Linked DNA regions of Lepisosteus oculatus. Each later gene encodes a partner of the first gene's protein in a complex. Links are inferred from orthologs where the notes say so. Each region holds a gene or a part of one and is shown in the gene's direction. Other genes may lie near its edges. The genes, in order: dlat and pdk3a.

Region 1 (7,818 bases):
CTGTCTCTGTCCTCCTCCCACCCCTGCGGCCCCTCCTGCTGCACAGAGCTGGGGCCTCAAAGTCAGCTTTCAGCCAAAGACCACACGACATGCTCCCTGCAATAGGAAAGACGGCCAACATTCCTGACTGTGCTTCTGCACGAGCTTAGACAAGGAGAAGCTTAGGAGCTGCCTGGAATATTAGTTCAGCCAGGGGAATGAGACTCCGATTGCATTGCACTCTACTCCACTCCAGGTTTTGTGGCTCCACCTCAGACATGCAGTATGTAGTACCTGTACAGTTTTACTATTGCTATCTTATTTTTAGAACGATTTACACATGAACACACTGCACATGCAGAATAAGATCAGATACAGTTTAATAGTTCAACTTTATGATGATGTAATTACTTTATTATTGTTTCACTGTTTCATCACCAGTTTGTTTGAGAGCCGGGGTGTGGCAAAACCAGAAGTGGATCAAACTGCTGTGCAATCCGTCTTTTTTGATTGAATCGGAGAGCTTTGAGGACTCTTCCGGGCCAAGACTCAGTAGTATCATTTCTGTACTGAGAGCTTTTTTTAGGTACTTTGTTAATAAATACAGGTAAATTGCAGAGAGAGGAGGAGAGCTGGCAGTGATGTTGCATTGAGTGAAGGCTAGACGACCAGTCAGCACTGTCAACAGTTGGGCTGAGACCAGCCTGTTTGTGTCCTGTTGGAGCCCGTGGGAGATGTCAGGCCTTGAGTGTGGAATGTTGTACACAGAGGAGTTTCGAGCTTGTTCACACTGAACTCCAGTGGGCTGGAGCGGGTTGCTGAATTATTTTCTCAGTCCACAAGCACCTTTGCCTAATGTGACACACTGATGAAGTTCACACCTGTCATGCTTGCTCACGCAGGACCTGCTGTATTGACAAATGGCCGTGTTCCCGTAGAAACTAATGGAGAATCGATGGGTGTGTTCTCAGTCAGAGTGTTATTGTGCCCTAAACAAGCTGAAGGTGCTTTTGTCACTCCAGCTGTGTCCAGCATCTCAGTGAGGTGGACAGTATGGGCAGTGGCCCGGTGCCTTGTGCTGCCCTGTTTGGAGTTTGCGTGTGAATGTGCCGGGAGTGAGCTGGCGCAGTTGACCAGGTGCCCGTCTTGTGTGTCCATGACTTCCGCCACTCTTGGTGGGCAAGAGCGAGGGGCAGGAGGGAGCTGGGCAAGACTGGCCTGAGATACCCCTTGCGGAGAGTTGGTTTGAAAGGCTGTCTCTACTGTTTCAGTGTGGCGTCAATGAATCCCATTTCTAACGGTGTTTGTAAATCTAGTTTTATACGTTGTGAATTAATTGCACAAAGGTGTTTTTCTACATGTGTGTGAACTGGTACTGGAACCGGTGTCTCTGTATTTGGTTCACTGGGCCGCTCTGATACTCTGCGGCTGCTGTCTGTGTGAATTTCTCACTCGCTGTCTCCTCTGGCTGAGCAGTTTGAGGATAGGACTGGTCCTGTCTGCCCCCCAAAACCACAACTTTCCTGACATCATGGGGGAAACTGGGTCACACTTGGGGTGTGACATGACACAACCTTGAACCCACGACCTCTGTATCATAGAGCTCAGCATGAGCCTTTCCTTCTCAGCCCCTCGGAAACCCCTTGTGCGCTGCTCTGAGGCAGTTTGAGGTATGGTTTGAATGAGCCACAAGCACGCAAAAAAGCCATAGAGAAAAATGCTGTGGAGAGGGGAGAACTGAGATCCCTCCCTCACTCCCCCTCTGGTCTGCAGTCTGTCCGAGGGCTGGGGGCTCACAGTGACACCCACTGGGTGCCTCCCAGTTTGCACAGACGCTCTTCCCCCATCTAGCTGGGACAGATCTGGAGTTCCTTAAAGAGGCTCAGCCAGGAGGGAGGTTTGTGACTAAAAACAGTTTAAAACTTGTGCAGAATATGTTTCTGCTCCGCAGCTGGGAGAGCAGGGGACCAAGCTTAACCTGAACTTTATTCACTTGTGTTCAATGGAAACAAAAACTTTTGTACTGTTTTCAAGCAGCTCTCTTTTCTCACAGTTTTTATATGTTTTTTGTTTTGTTTTGTAAAGGACTGGCTCGCCCCTGTTTGATGCAGACCGTGACTATGTTTTTAAACTGTTTTAATCCCTGATCAGTTTTTTAATCCCTGATCAATTTACTGGTTCACCATGAAAGGCAGGTGCAGGCTGCACCTTGCAGGATTGGCCTTTGAAAACAGGGCTTGTTTCAGGTTCCTACTGCTGTATCAGCGCCCTTGTTCCAGCCCTGCCTTCCTCATCAGTCGCTGTGCTCAGACCCTTGCGCTGTTCAAGAAGGGAGCTGCATGACAGGGACCGAGTCTCCCAGTCCCTTCCCCTCATGCTCAGCGCTTAGTGCTCAGATGGCTGCTGCTGGCTTCAGTGTTTTGTCTTTCTCAGTGCCACGCGTATTATCTGGAGCTGCGTCAGCATGCGGAGACTGCAAAGGAACACATTAAAGGTTAATTCCAGGCTGAAGAAGAGAGGAAAGGAATCACGTTTCGGCTGTGGAGCCTCATGCCCGAAGAAGGCTCCACAGCCGAAACGTTGTGATTCCTTTCTTCTCTTCTTCAGCAGGGAATAGACCTTTTACATATGATCTGATATTTCACTACCAGAATTATTTTTGTGTCTCTGTAAGCAGAGCAGACTTTTGTGATAACTGTGAGCTGAAGTTTACATCACAAAGATTTAAAAGCACTGACATGGGGTGATATTCCTTCTCCATTGCAGGTTGAGTTAGGACAGTGCTTCGGGACCATAAGCTGTACCGGCTTTCTTGTCTGGTTAAAATCAGACAAATTCGCAAGACAAAAGATGTGCCGATTCCTGGGTTACATCCAGATAGCCTGTTGAATTGATCAGTAACTTCAAAGCTGTAGAGCTGGGTGATACAATTTGCTGGATCAGTGCTATCTGGGACTGGGGTTTTCTCACTGCTATATGTGTCTGTGAAGAGCTCCAGATACAGGCAGCAATGCACAGCTACTGGACTGGCTGTGGTGACATCACTAAAGCCCTGCTTGTTCACGCCTGGGGGTCACTGTGCGCGACGGTCACTGCTGGGGCCAGAGAGGACCAGTCTGTCCTGGCCAGGCAGAGCTCATGCAGAGTGTGTTCAGGAGTCATGTAACTTTACTATCATTCCCCTCTGTGTCAGACCACAGACAGTGACAATAAACAAATCAATAAACCACTCTCTCTGTTTTCATAAATCATCTCTCCTGTTGAAAGGGGGTCTGTGGCTGTCTGATTTTACACATCCCTGCAACTCCTAAAAGTTGCTAAGTTGTTTTTTTTCCCTTGCTGTATTTCCTCACTTACTCTATGAACATTAGAGCTTCTGCTTCAGGACCTGCAGGCCTGACTCCTCAGGCCAGATCCCAGCTGTACTATGCCTGCTCCTGCATGCTATCTCCTGGGTTTCGCTGTCATTCTCATCTCAGTGCCAGGCCTGATGCCACCTATGATCCTGGAGTATCCTGACAAGGAGGTGTGCAGTAGAGAGGCAGAACATCAGTGCATGTTTTTTAAAAACGGGCCTGTCTGGTCCCTCTGGCCTGAGTGCTCACAGCCTGCGTTGCACGGTTGGTTTCTGTAGAAACGCCCCCCTGCTGTCACTGTGTTTCAGAAGAGCCGCGAACGAGGCGTACACTGCACTGCTCGCTGGCACAAGTCTCGATTCGAACCTGCTGCTTCACACGCCCAGCAGAACCGCAGGCAGATACCCGGGACACTGACGTTTCACAAGACGCCTGCTTCGAGAATCAGTCCGATACATCATAAGAAACCAAGACACACTGTTATTGTTCAGCTTATTCTGCAAAAGTTCCTTAATTTTTACTTCACTGACGATATTTCATGGCAACTTCTAAAGGAAGTTAAAGGTGCTTCCCAGGCCACTTCACACAGTTTATACAGCGGTGTCTGCGCGCCCCCTGGAGGCGACAGGTGGAACTACTGCTGTTCTGTCACTCGTGGACATTCAGTTGAGCCGGATGCTCTGCAACAGAGTCTCGGTATTGCCTGCAGGGCCTCAGTGTTTCCGGTTTTACTTGCTTAAAATCAAAGCGTATGTTGGTTCTTTATAAACAGCATCTACCCTCTATTAAGGGAGAAGACAAATCCTCGACAACTCGAGAACATGTAAACTCGCAAAAGGTGCCCCCGACCGGAATCGAACCCAGGTCACGCCGCAATGTTCGAGAACATTTCTGTGTTGTTTCACCTTGTATCTAGATCAGCTACACGTGCGATATAAGCTGCCTTATCAATAGCTTATAGAATACATAGAAGATACTTTTTATTCATGCCATCCCGCAACGCAATTTTGAATTGACAGTTTTCAATCGATGTATGCCTGCTCACTGGTTTAGGTTCTTTTCAAAACCACAACGCAAGAAAAAGAGAACGCGGAGGGGATCTGTTCTACATCTTTAGTTACTGGTAGAGTTACTGAGCTCTACCAAGACCGATATTTTAAAACAACAATATCAGAGAAACACAGTAGGGTAGTTATTAGCTAATGTATTTCAACAGGACGCCGAGGTCAGAGTCGCAAAAGCTGAGTCCTATAAAAAGCGACACCACCCCCTCCCGCCTGTGCAGAGGCAGAGACGCGCTGCTTGACGACAGCGTGCTTTACGACCTCACACGACTCTGGTGGGCGGAGCCTAGGTGCTGCGGGTAAGCCGTAAAGCGAGATGTTTTGAGACGGGGAGGTCATTGGAAAGTGAGGGAGGGACTCTCGTTATAAACTGGGGGACACCGGAGCGGCATTAAGGCTGTCGGCTCTGAAGCATTAAAAGGCCAGCTCTTCTGCAGAGTGGGGAACTTCTTGGTGTTGCGCCGTTAAGCGAGCAGCTCGGAATGTTGCGTTGGGCGGTGCGGTTGCGGCAGTCGGTGCGGGTCCCCCGCTTCGGCCCCGGCTCGGCCCCCGGGATGAGCTCCCGGCCGGGGTCCTGCCGTCTCAGGAGGTACCACTCCGGAGGTTCGGCCCGGGTCCGGCCCGTGTGCTACGCCACCGCGGTTACCTGCGGCAGGGGCGGGTTTCTGCAGAGTTACCTGTCCGCACGGAGCTGCCAAGGCAAGCGGCTGTACAGCCTGCCGCCCCACCAGAAGGTAAGGCTTCTCCCAGACGGGCTTGACGGTTTCCTGCTCGCCCACCTGGGCGGGCGTGTGCATCTTTATAGAGGCTTCTGTATAGAGCTCCCAAACTGTGTGGTGCAGCGTTAGGAATGGACAAAATGGCGCTGTGTAGGCTGCCAAATAAGTCTAAACTTTCTTTCACGGAGACATAAATGTTCCACCTTTCCAGTGCTTGGCACGAATTGCGCCACGGTGCTAAGTCGGGGTAACTGCTTAGCAACGCTAACGGCAGGCTTTCCTGTCCCGAGTGTTTCTGCTCCGCGCTGCGCGGCCGGCTGTCCGTGTCACCTTGCAGCTTGAGGCCGCTGGGCTCCGGGCCGGGCCGTAGCTCCTCTCCGAGAGCTGACCTTTCTCACGGGGCATTCTCTCCAGTGTGAGCTTCTCTTTCCCTGCGGTTCAGGCTCATAAACGGCTTGTTTCAGGTGTCCCTTTAGGTCACCTGAGAGAGAGGCTCCGAGGTTTGCTTCTGATGATCAGCTGTTCAGTGCCCGTCTAGCTCATGTGGTTTTTCGGTTGCTAATATCTTCTGGGGACCTCATCCAGACTTGTCTTGGATGATGCCGGAGTATTCGCCTCAATGACTTGGCTTTGCAGTTGTTCCGGACTTCCAGTAACACATTTTTTCTGCTTTGATCCTCAAATAAGTGCACACCTGTCCTGTCCTGTCCTCCTTGACAGCTGGGATTGTTACAGAAGTCTGTTGATGTGAAGCCCCTTGCCTCTGTAAAGCAGCAGTACCTCAGTGGGGATTCGAACCCACAGCTTGCCCTGACTGCTCCTCCACACTGCTCCCCTGCCTTAGTCTTGGCATCCCTGTGTGTGGAGAGCAGGCGTCCTGGACCTGACTGTGCATGCCCCTGGCTCCTATTGGACAGGGCTGTGGGCGTGTCCTGCACTGTGCTCTGCCATTTCTTCTCTTTTCAGCATGGAATAAACCTTTAACTTGTTCCTTTGCATTAAAATAAAATGGCCCAATTTCCCAAAATAAATCGCTCAGCAGTATGGGACACAAATGAGCAGGGTGTTGAAGAGAGCAGCCTTGCGGTTTTCGATGCAGAGGTTGAATGCGCGCTTTAACAGTAAGTGCGCCTGTGCGAGGAGGAGGAGGAGGTCTCTGTGTCACGGTGTGGTTTGGCTCTGTGCAGGTGGTGCTGCCCGCACTCTCCCCCACAATGCAGAATGGCACCATCGCTCGCTGGGAGAAGAAAGAGGGGGACAAGATCAGCGAGGGGGACCTGATCGCCGAGGTGAGGGTGCAGGACTGCTCCTGTGTCCCGTGGCTGCACAGTGCTGGCCCACAATTAGAGCCGTCGGCCATGCTGTCTCGTCTGTATTTCTCCCTTCATCTCTCTCCTTTCTCACACCTGCCTCGCCCTGGTCTTGCGTGCTCTAACCCCACACTCGCTCTCTCGCCAGGTGGAGACGGACAAGGCCACGGTGGGCTTTGAGATTCTGGAGGAGTGTTACTTGGCGAAGATCCTGGTGGCAGAGGGAACCAGGGACGTGCCCATTGGTGCCGTCATCTGTATAACTGTGGAGAGGTAAACTTCCCGTTTCCGCTTTCCTGTCTTGGATCAGGCAGCGAAGAACTATCGTAGCCTTTAAAATAGCTGGGAAGAAAAGCCCGATGTCTAATCCTGCAGTTTTCAGGACTCTATCGCTTCTCAGACACTGCTGTTAATGGGCAGACAAGACAGGTTTGCAGAGAATTTGGAAACGGTCTGTAACTGATGTTGAGTGGCGTCTGCGAAGCACTGCAGGAGTTTGGGTTGCAAGCAGAGTTGCTGAGCTTTTAGGCGAGCGATTGTGGATTTTAGTTGAGTGCCCAGCGCTGGTCCTGCTGTTCTGAGTGTCCCCAGGAAGGGCTCTGGGCAGAAGCAGTAGCTGGTCTGTGGGGCTGCCTGCCTGCCTGCTTGCTGTGTTTGTGGGCAGCCTGTGTCTGACATCATGCTGTTGCTCGTTCTGCCCTCCCTGCAGCCCTGACCTCGTCCCTGCCTTCAAAGACTACACTCTGGACATGGCATCTGCACCCCCCAGCCCAGCAGCAACAGCGGCGGCGGCGGCCCCTCCCCCCCCTGCCGCGGCCCCCCCACAGCCGCCCGGCAGCTCCTACCCCCCGCACATGAAGGTAGGAGCATCGCCTGGCTGGTGCAGCAGCGGTGATGCCTTTACCGCGAGCGACGCGGCAGGAGAGCGAGTTCAGGAGACTCCCCTCTCCAGTACAGAAGTGGAAGTTAAATACTTCATCGCGGGCCCCCACTTTCTGAGAGTGTCCACTAAGCTTCCTTTTATAAAGGATGCTTGGCGGTGCTTTGCGTTTTTAGATGCTTGACACCCTTATAATGCTGGTGATGACAAAGTACCTTATGAAGGAACTGGAAACTGAACTTCCTGTTTCTGTGCCCCCTGACGTTGCCTGGGTGTGCTGTGCCCCTGCCAGGTCCTGCTGCCAGCTCTTTCGCCCACCATGACCATGGGCACCGTGCAGCGCTGGGAGAAGAAGGTGGGCGAGAAGCTGAGTGAGGGGGACCTGCTGGCTGAGATCGAGACGGACAAGGCCACCATCGGTGAGGCCGCTGGGCGCCCACGCCGACATCGACGCGCTGCCGGGGCCTGGGCACAGCACTGACCCTTCGAGGAGTCTTAGACTCCTGAATC
Region 2 (7,202 bases), on another chromosome or scaffold:
AAAATTCACGAACTGGAGAACATCTCAGTCTTGTCTGGTTTTATCCAAATTCTTAGGTGTGTTTTGTTCTAGTTATATTTTCTGCTTTGTGCCTTTTTGTTTTTCTTTGTATCTGCTTTTATTTGCATGTCTCAGTCTTTCCAGGTGTTGTCAGAGGTGATGCCACTAGCGCTGTGTTGCCATGTGTTCAGTCTGCAGTGTGCACAATTACTGGCTCAGACTCAATCAGGACAAACTGCCAGCTCAGCTTTTCTTTGGACAGACGTGTCTTTCTTCTGTTCAGTGGAAACTCACCGTGGTGGACTGGGCCTGTAACAGTGATTAGCGCAGGAGCCGAAGAGTCTGACTCTGGGCCTTCATGAAGGTGAGGTAGATTTCCGAAGTGTCCTGTGGCTCAGGCTGGTGGTGAACCCATTTAGAGAGGAGGAATTAAAACACTAGTTATTGAGGGTGATTGGTCTGGGATTTTCAGCACAGTCACCAGGGCTGCCTGAGGTTCAGAAAGGAGTCAGGCTGCAGAATAATACAAGACTCTGTGCTCAGAAGATATGGACACCGTCATCATTATCTTCATCATCTTGTTAAAGCTCTTTGTCATATGATGCCATCTTCCATTGTGTGTTTATATCGGTTTGTTTTTTAAACAAAAGTGCATATAAATAGAAAAAAAAGAAATAGAAAGGGGTATTTTTATAATACCTAATATCTTAATTGATGTACCAACAGGCAAACAATAACAAATATGAAGTATATATATTTTGTAATGAGTCGTGTCCTTGACTTTGCAGTACGCTTTTAGTTTCGAAGTAAAGAGGTGAGATTAAGGTGAGAAAATGAGCAGTCCTCCCAGTGCAAACTTGTGGAATCAGAATTCCAGAGAGAGCGTTCTGGGATTACAAGATATCAGTTGTTGTGTGAGCTAATAAACGGTTGAATTTCTTTGGTGTGTGAGTGCTTTCTGAAGAAAGATATAACATCCATTAATTGGCAGTTTTTGGACTAAAATATATTATTCAATATTTTATCTTATTTTAAGCACAATAGTTGCTATGTAAATGTATACAGTATACTATAATTACTGTATAAACTAAATATTATATTCCTGGACAATTGAAACTGCCTGTGATATGAAAACTGTTCTTGGCTGCTGTTTCATTAAAAGATGTGTATTGTGCTCTTTAGATAAAGAGGTTTGATTAATAAAATCCATATCCTGCAACAATGTGCCAATTTACAAGTTTCAGTGGTATATGATAATAAAATCGTGTCATTCACTCAGCACTGTGTCAAGGAACTGGATTTCAGAGAACAGGAACTGGGCCAAAGATCATATGCTTTTCAGGAATACTTTCTATTCTGGGCTTCCATTGTTCAATCCCTGATTCCCGAAAGTTCCCACGGATTTGGGATTGTTCCCAGGTCCATCCTGATAGATCTGGCCTATCTTTTTTTGGAACGCTGAATGCTTCGCAGATCCAGACCATGAGAACTAGGGATATTTGGCTCTTTCTTAGCAAGTAACCTAATGTTCAATGTTTATAACTGCAGCGGTATAAATATTTATACACATCATTTATTTTGTTAAAAAAAACAACCCCCACTGTCTTGGATTTTTTCGAATGCACCCACATACAGTACTATGATCTTTGCTGTCATTTAACGCTCAGTACTGGCTGCTTCCCATTAGGTGGCGTAAGGTATCCATCTTCTGTGTAAATGCTGTCTTACAGCAAATCCAGCACGCAGCTCGCTTTAAAAGCAAAACCTGCGATTAACAATAAACACAATATCATTTCCCAAAAAAAACGAAAATCAGCTCTGCGGTAAAACCGCAATGCAGATGCTAAAGGTATTTTATAGGGTTGCGATCTTTCTACCCCCTATCCAAATGCAATACTATATATAAACCAGAGTCAGAATCACTTTCTTTGCCAAATATGTTACATGTACAAGGAATTTGATCTTGTGTCGTTGTGCCAAAACACAGATAGAAACAATCGATAATACAAATACACTTCACACCAAGAACGTGCACAGAGGACCACAGTTCCTGACGCAGTGGGTCTCGTATCCAGGGGGACGGCCACAGGGAAGAAGCTGTTCAGGTGCCCAGCAGCGTTGGTTTCGATCGGCTGGTAGCGTCTCCCCAAGGTTAATTAAACAGGTGGTGTCCTGGACAAGGGGAGTTTTCTGCTCGATTCTTTAGTCTGAGTTTATACAGGAGGTGTTGGAGGTGGTTATTCCTAGGAACTTGAAAGACTCCACCATACCCACTGCGACCTTGACCGTTTCTAGGGGTTTTTCAGAAAATCAAATTAACATTTCTTCGGTTCTGAGACCGTTGAGCTGAAGGGCGCTGTTGACACGCCCTGCCGCCAGACGATCCGCTGCCCGTCTGTGCCTGTTCTCGTCAGACCCACCAGCAGTGTGACAGAGGGGCCGTTGGAGGTACAGTCCTTGGGATACAGAGGGCACAGTCATGGGGAGACAACAGAGGCTTGAGGTGCACCAGTGCTCACAGATACGCAGTCTGACAGATCACAGCCAATCTGCACTCATTGCCTTCCCTTGTGTCCACTGGCAGGTGGGGAGGAGAACATTCAAATGAGTCACTTTTTTGCGGAGGGCTTCTGGGATGATGGTCTCGAATGGAGAGCTAAAATCAACAAGTAGGAGTCTGACATATGTTCCTGGAGATTCCAGATGCTGTATGTAGTATGTAGTGGAGGCAAACACTAACAGCATCATCCACTGGCTTATTGGCTCAGTATTGAATCTGTGATAGTTTTGAGGGATCTGAGTATGCGGCTCTCAAAGGTTTTCATTGACAGAAGAAAGTGCAACTGGTCTATAGAGAGTATATGCCCAAAGGGGCAATAGTCAGGTTGCATGATCCTTCTTGGGAGCAGGGATGATAGCAGAGGGGCTGAAGCAGGTAGGGCCCACACTGACCCATGGACAGCTGGAATCTGTCTGTGAATTCTGGGGAGAGCTGAGCAGCACAGTGCTTCAGTGGCTGGAGAAACCAAACCAGGACCAGACGCCTTCCTGCAGTTTGGGCTGGCAAAGAGCTTAAGGGACTTCCTGCTCTTTACCAAGGGGAGAGAAGATCCAGCGTGTTCTGCTGCCTGCAGGGAGAGGGGGCAGGGGGGAGCCAGGGGGGTTGTGAGGTACTGGAGAATAAAGGACATAGCAACAGATTGCATGAACTATTGTTAAGAATTTTGTTTGCTTATCAAATCTACAGTAAAACTGGTTCAGTTTGTCTGGAAGACAAAGGGGGGGATTTCTGTGGTTTGTGTTAGCTGGAAGGCCCCTCCACACTGTGGATCAGTCATTGTTAGCAAATTTCAGTTGGGACCCTTTCATGTGTTTGGATTTTGCATGACTGGGCTTTGTTGAGATGAGATTTTGCTTCCCTGTAAATCCGCCGTTCTCATTAGCCTCCTCCTGGGCTTCGCCTTTACAGTAGATGCGTCTTTTGCAGGGTCGTGACTTGAAAGAGCAGAGCCTTGGTTGGGCGCTTGATGAGTTAATTCTGAGGATTAGATTCAGCTTACTCACAACATGAGCCGCAACACGTACCGGAGCGCCGCTTCAGCCGGTGTCGAAGGGGGACACCGGCGGTGGGATCGTGATTTCGGTTTTACTCCATTTCCGCGCAAGATGCAGTCAGGGCTGCCAGAACGTTACGCACACCTTGAGCAGCCTAACCCCAGCTTTGTGACACATCTTTTGCAGCCTACAAGCCTAAGTGAAATATACCGGGGGCGGCGAATTATGTGGCAGTGCAGTCTGTCCACCTGTGGACAGGGAGCTGCTTGGAGAAATAGCGAGCTCTGTTCCACGGAGAAAGAAAGGGCCTTTGGGGTTTGCAATCAGTGCTTCCCTGGCGTGGTTGTATTGAGCTATTCACACGTGTCGTCCGGATGGAAACGCCAGTAAGACGGACGCAGCCCCCCAGCCTGCGTAGCCCCTTCACAGCGTGCAACTGTGACACCAGTACTTTCGAAATAGCATCAGTCACACTAACCCCTGCGGAAGACCCGAGCAGCCCACCCAGAATGGTGTGAGCGACACCTAGCTGGTCCAATAGAACGAAATTATACTTTTCCGCGTTGCAGCTAAGGACCAATTAGAAATGGTCTAGGGGCAGGACGATATGTTCTCAAGGATGGTTGACCGGAACGTGGTGTACGTGCCGTTTAATGCCACAATGTATCGCAGAAGACTGCCTAGAGGGCATCAAATGTAGCAATAACGAAGTTTTTAGACAATCTGGTATAGCACCGGCTAGCAAGAAGGAGCACGGCCTGATGACATCACCGGCTGTTCGTTTTGATTGAATTTCCCCCGATTTATTCCCATCACTACATCCATGCAGTTTTACTGGAGGCATCATCAGTGAAAACAACATTCAATTATGAGGCTGTTTCGACTTCTCCTGAAAAACAGCACTCCGAAGCAGATAGAATATTATTCAAGATTTTCCCCCTCTCCGCTGTCCATAAAGCAATTCCTGGATTTCGGTAAGTAGGAATACTTCCAAATAAGCAACAGCTTTTGGTTGTTCTAATTAATCAGTTGTCTATCAATATTCAAATGTGTTTATTTGTGTGTTATTTATCGCGTCATTAGCCGTTATGATAGAGACTAAATGAACTGAAACTCATTTATGTTCAAGACGATACTGAGCTACCAAGAAACTACGCTTAATCTTGAATTCAGGGTTATGGCGTCAGTTTTTCATTTAATAACATATGTAACCATATAAATATTTTCTATGACAACTGCAGTCTTCCTGCACAGCCTACTGCTTGAGCGGTCTCGCCAGTACAGTTAACCGCACTCCAGTGATACAGGCTCAGAAGCCAGACTCAAAAACAAATGCTTATTTGAACCTGTTTCACGTCAGCTGTCGTTTTGTTTGGGGACAGTGTGTTTATAGTTGTCAAGACCACATTACACTCATTTCTGAACAGTTTTAAACGCCCTGAAGCTGAAATTTTGCAGGAACGTATGAACGCATTAGCATGTTTCGGTGAATCGCCTGAACTCCAGGGATTGTTGTTCAAGCTTGGTGTGAAATGTAACGATTCGGCATCTGCTGCCACAAATCAGCTTCCTCATAAGTGTCTGAATTTAAAGGAACCCAAGACTAATCTAAATCACCGCATCAGCCTTAAGCTTTGCTTAAAATAGAACCAGCCTCACCGCTATTGAGTCTGCACAGAGAAAGCGAATAGATTCCGCACGGCGTGTGATCTGGAGCAGACTCATGCCGGGGGTGACGTGAGGCAGCAGCTCTGATCTGCGACCTGCGTCTGTCGTGAGGCGTTCCGCCCGTGGCGATGAATGACCTACCCTGTACGGCCCGAAGGGAAAGTCACGCCACAAGCTGGAGCGTGTCGAAGAGGGCGGAGAGGTGGCACTGTGGTTAAGGGTCTGCTCCTGTGTCTGGAAGGTTGCCGGTTCGTATCCCGCAGCCGGCAGAGGAATCCTATTCCGTTGGGCCCCTGAGCAAGGCCCTGAACCCCAGCTGCTCCAGGGGCGCTGTATAAATGGCTGACCATGGCTGTGCTCGGACCCCAAGCTTCTCTCTCCCTGCCTGTGTGTCTCATGGAGAGCAAGTTGGGGTCTGTGACAAGACAAATTCCTAATGCAAGGGATTCAAGCCTGAAGGGGTTAGAATAGGAAACAGGACTTGTCTCTGTGAAACACAAACCAGAGGCCCTAGTGGAAACACCCAGTGCGTTTAGAGCACTTGACACTGTGGCGTATTCAGGTTACAGCTGCTCGAGATCCTCGGTCCAATAAGCTACCATCTTCCGAATGAGCTAGCTAGACCAACTGGCCTCCTGTGGTTTGTAACTTTCCTCACAATCTTGTTTTCTTTCATACGCGTGACGGACGTGTCTTCTGAAGTCAGGGTTACTTTTTCCCTATAAGCAGCCCAAAGGGACGTCCTCTTCAAATAAATTGGCATGCCTGAACTTGTCTGTGCTGGAAAGGTTTCCGACAAGCCTGTGGTGGTCAGGTCTCAAAATACCCCCTTTTTGGGTGGGCGTAGAGTGGAACGATCCTTTTTAAATTTTCAATTCTCTTGGCAGCTGCGTCCCGACACCAGGAATTGCATGGCCTGGTTTTATATGCGATTTAAGCAAGAGAAATTCCTTCATGAAACATACTCCTTTCAAGCGTGGGGGGCAGACAGACATGTAGCAGGGGCAGGTGGGGCTCAGCCCTTGTACTGTCACCCCTTAGTATGAGCAAAGAGGAAAGCTTGTCTTCACAGAAATGAGGCGGTTTGTCTGAAGTCTGGTGTGGTGTGTGTCCACTGGCCAGCTGCAGTTGAAACAGCGGATGAAGGCGGAGGTTTCCGCAGGAGTGGACAGGCTCCAGGGCTCTGCGGAGTGTGTCCACGCGGGGTTCTCTGTCGGACTGAGCCCAGGCTGCAGGCCCTGGGAATGTGTGCGCCGCAGGGAAGAGGGCTTGTGAGGATAAGCCGTTTTTTGTTATTTTCATGTGGGAAACAGCCTTGTGTCTCCAGTTGTGTGCCTTATTGTAACACCATTTTGACAGCAGAATTCAGTCGCCAAATTTTTCACCTGATTAACTGGATGCATATGGCATTGTAGCATGCTTTGCAAAGACTAACAGAAACCCCTCTTATTGACTCTAGACATGTTTGTTCACTTGCTCTATGCTTGCAGAGTGGCAAACATCCATTCTAATATAAAAATAACTGCATTTCTGGGTCTTCATATAATGAAATTTATACTTGTATTAAGTGAGCATTCATTCATTAAGGGAATATACACATTACAGGAAGTATTTTAGGAATGAAGAATTAATAGATTATAAGCATATCAGTTAAATGTGATTTTCTCCTGGAGTAAGTAGTTACATTGGAAATGCAGAGTCAAAGATCCAGGAGTTCTCCAAGTAGTAAGGTCAACTGTAAGTGACGGCACGTAATACTGAGTACTATGGCATAGATTATTCCCTGGAGCGATTCACTATTAACTGGTTTCCTGCTCATTTCTGTGAGCCTTGGGCCTCTCCTTCAACATGTTCAGATCACAGCTCAGCACTGGCCAGAGGTGTGCATGCTTAATAGTGGATTAAGAGCTCAGAACCAATCGGCACTGAGTATCAAGCCCATCCCCTGACACACCTAGGGGTCAGAAGATTTTCCAGGA

What was found.
Region 2: the proteins of dlat (region 1) and pdk3a are in contact, whole or in part, in a crystal structure (PDB 1Y8N), measured with the Homo sapiens proteins. The link is inferred for Lepisosteus oculatus from reciprocal best matches to the Homo sapiens genes DLAT and PDK3. Residues at the interface, in NP_001922.2 of Homo sapiens: Ala225, Leu226, Ser227, Pro228, Thr229, Glu248, Gly249, Lys259, Ala260, Ile262, Glu265; in NP_005382.1 of Homo sapiens: Arg21, Phe22, Ser23, Pro24, Ser25, Pro26, Leu27, Phe48, Lys51, Val55, Asn373, Lys374, Ser375, Arg378.

What each region holds. Positions count from the first base shown.
Region 1 is NC_090718.1:15,305,892-15,313,709, reverse strand, and holds the start of dlat (dihydrolipoyllysine-residue acetyltransferase component of pyruvate dehydrogenase complex, mitochondrial), read left to right. Parts: upstream 1-4,687; 5' UTR 4,688-4,881; coding exon 4,882-5,133; intron 5,134-6,305; coding exon 6,306-6,407; intron 6,408-6,576; coding exon 6,577-6,701; intron 6,702-7,137; coding exon 7,138-7,288; intron 7,289-7,600; coding exon 7,601-7,727; intron 7,728-7,818.
Region 2 is NC_090700.1:1,514,532-1,521,733, forward strand, and holds the start of pdk3a (pyruvate dehydrogenase (acetyl-transferring) kinase isozyme 3, mitochondrial), read left to right. Parts: upstream 1-4,155; 5' UTR 4,156-4,423; coding exon 4,424-4,529; intron 4,530-7,202. UniProt on the Homo sapiens protein: Inhibits pyruvate dehydrogenase activity by phosphorylation of the E1 subunit PDHA1, and thereby regulates glucose metabolism and aerobic respiration. Can also phosphorylate PDHA2.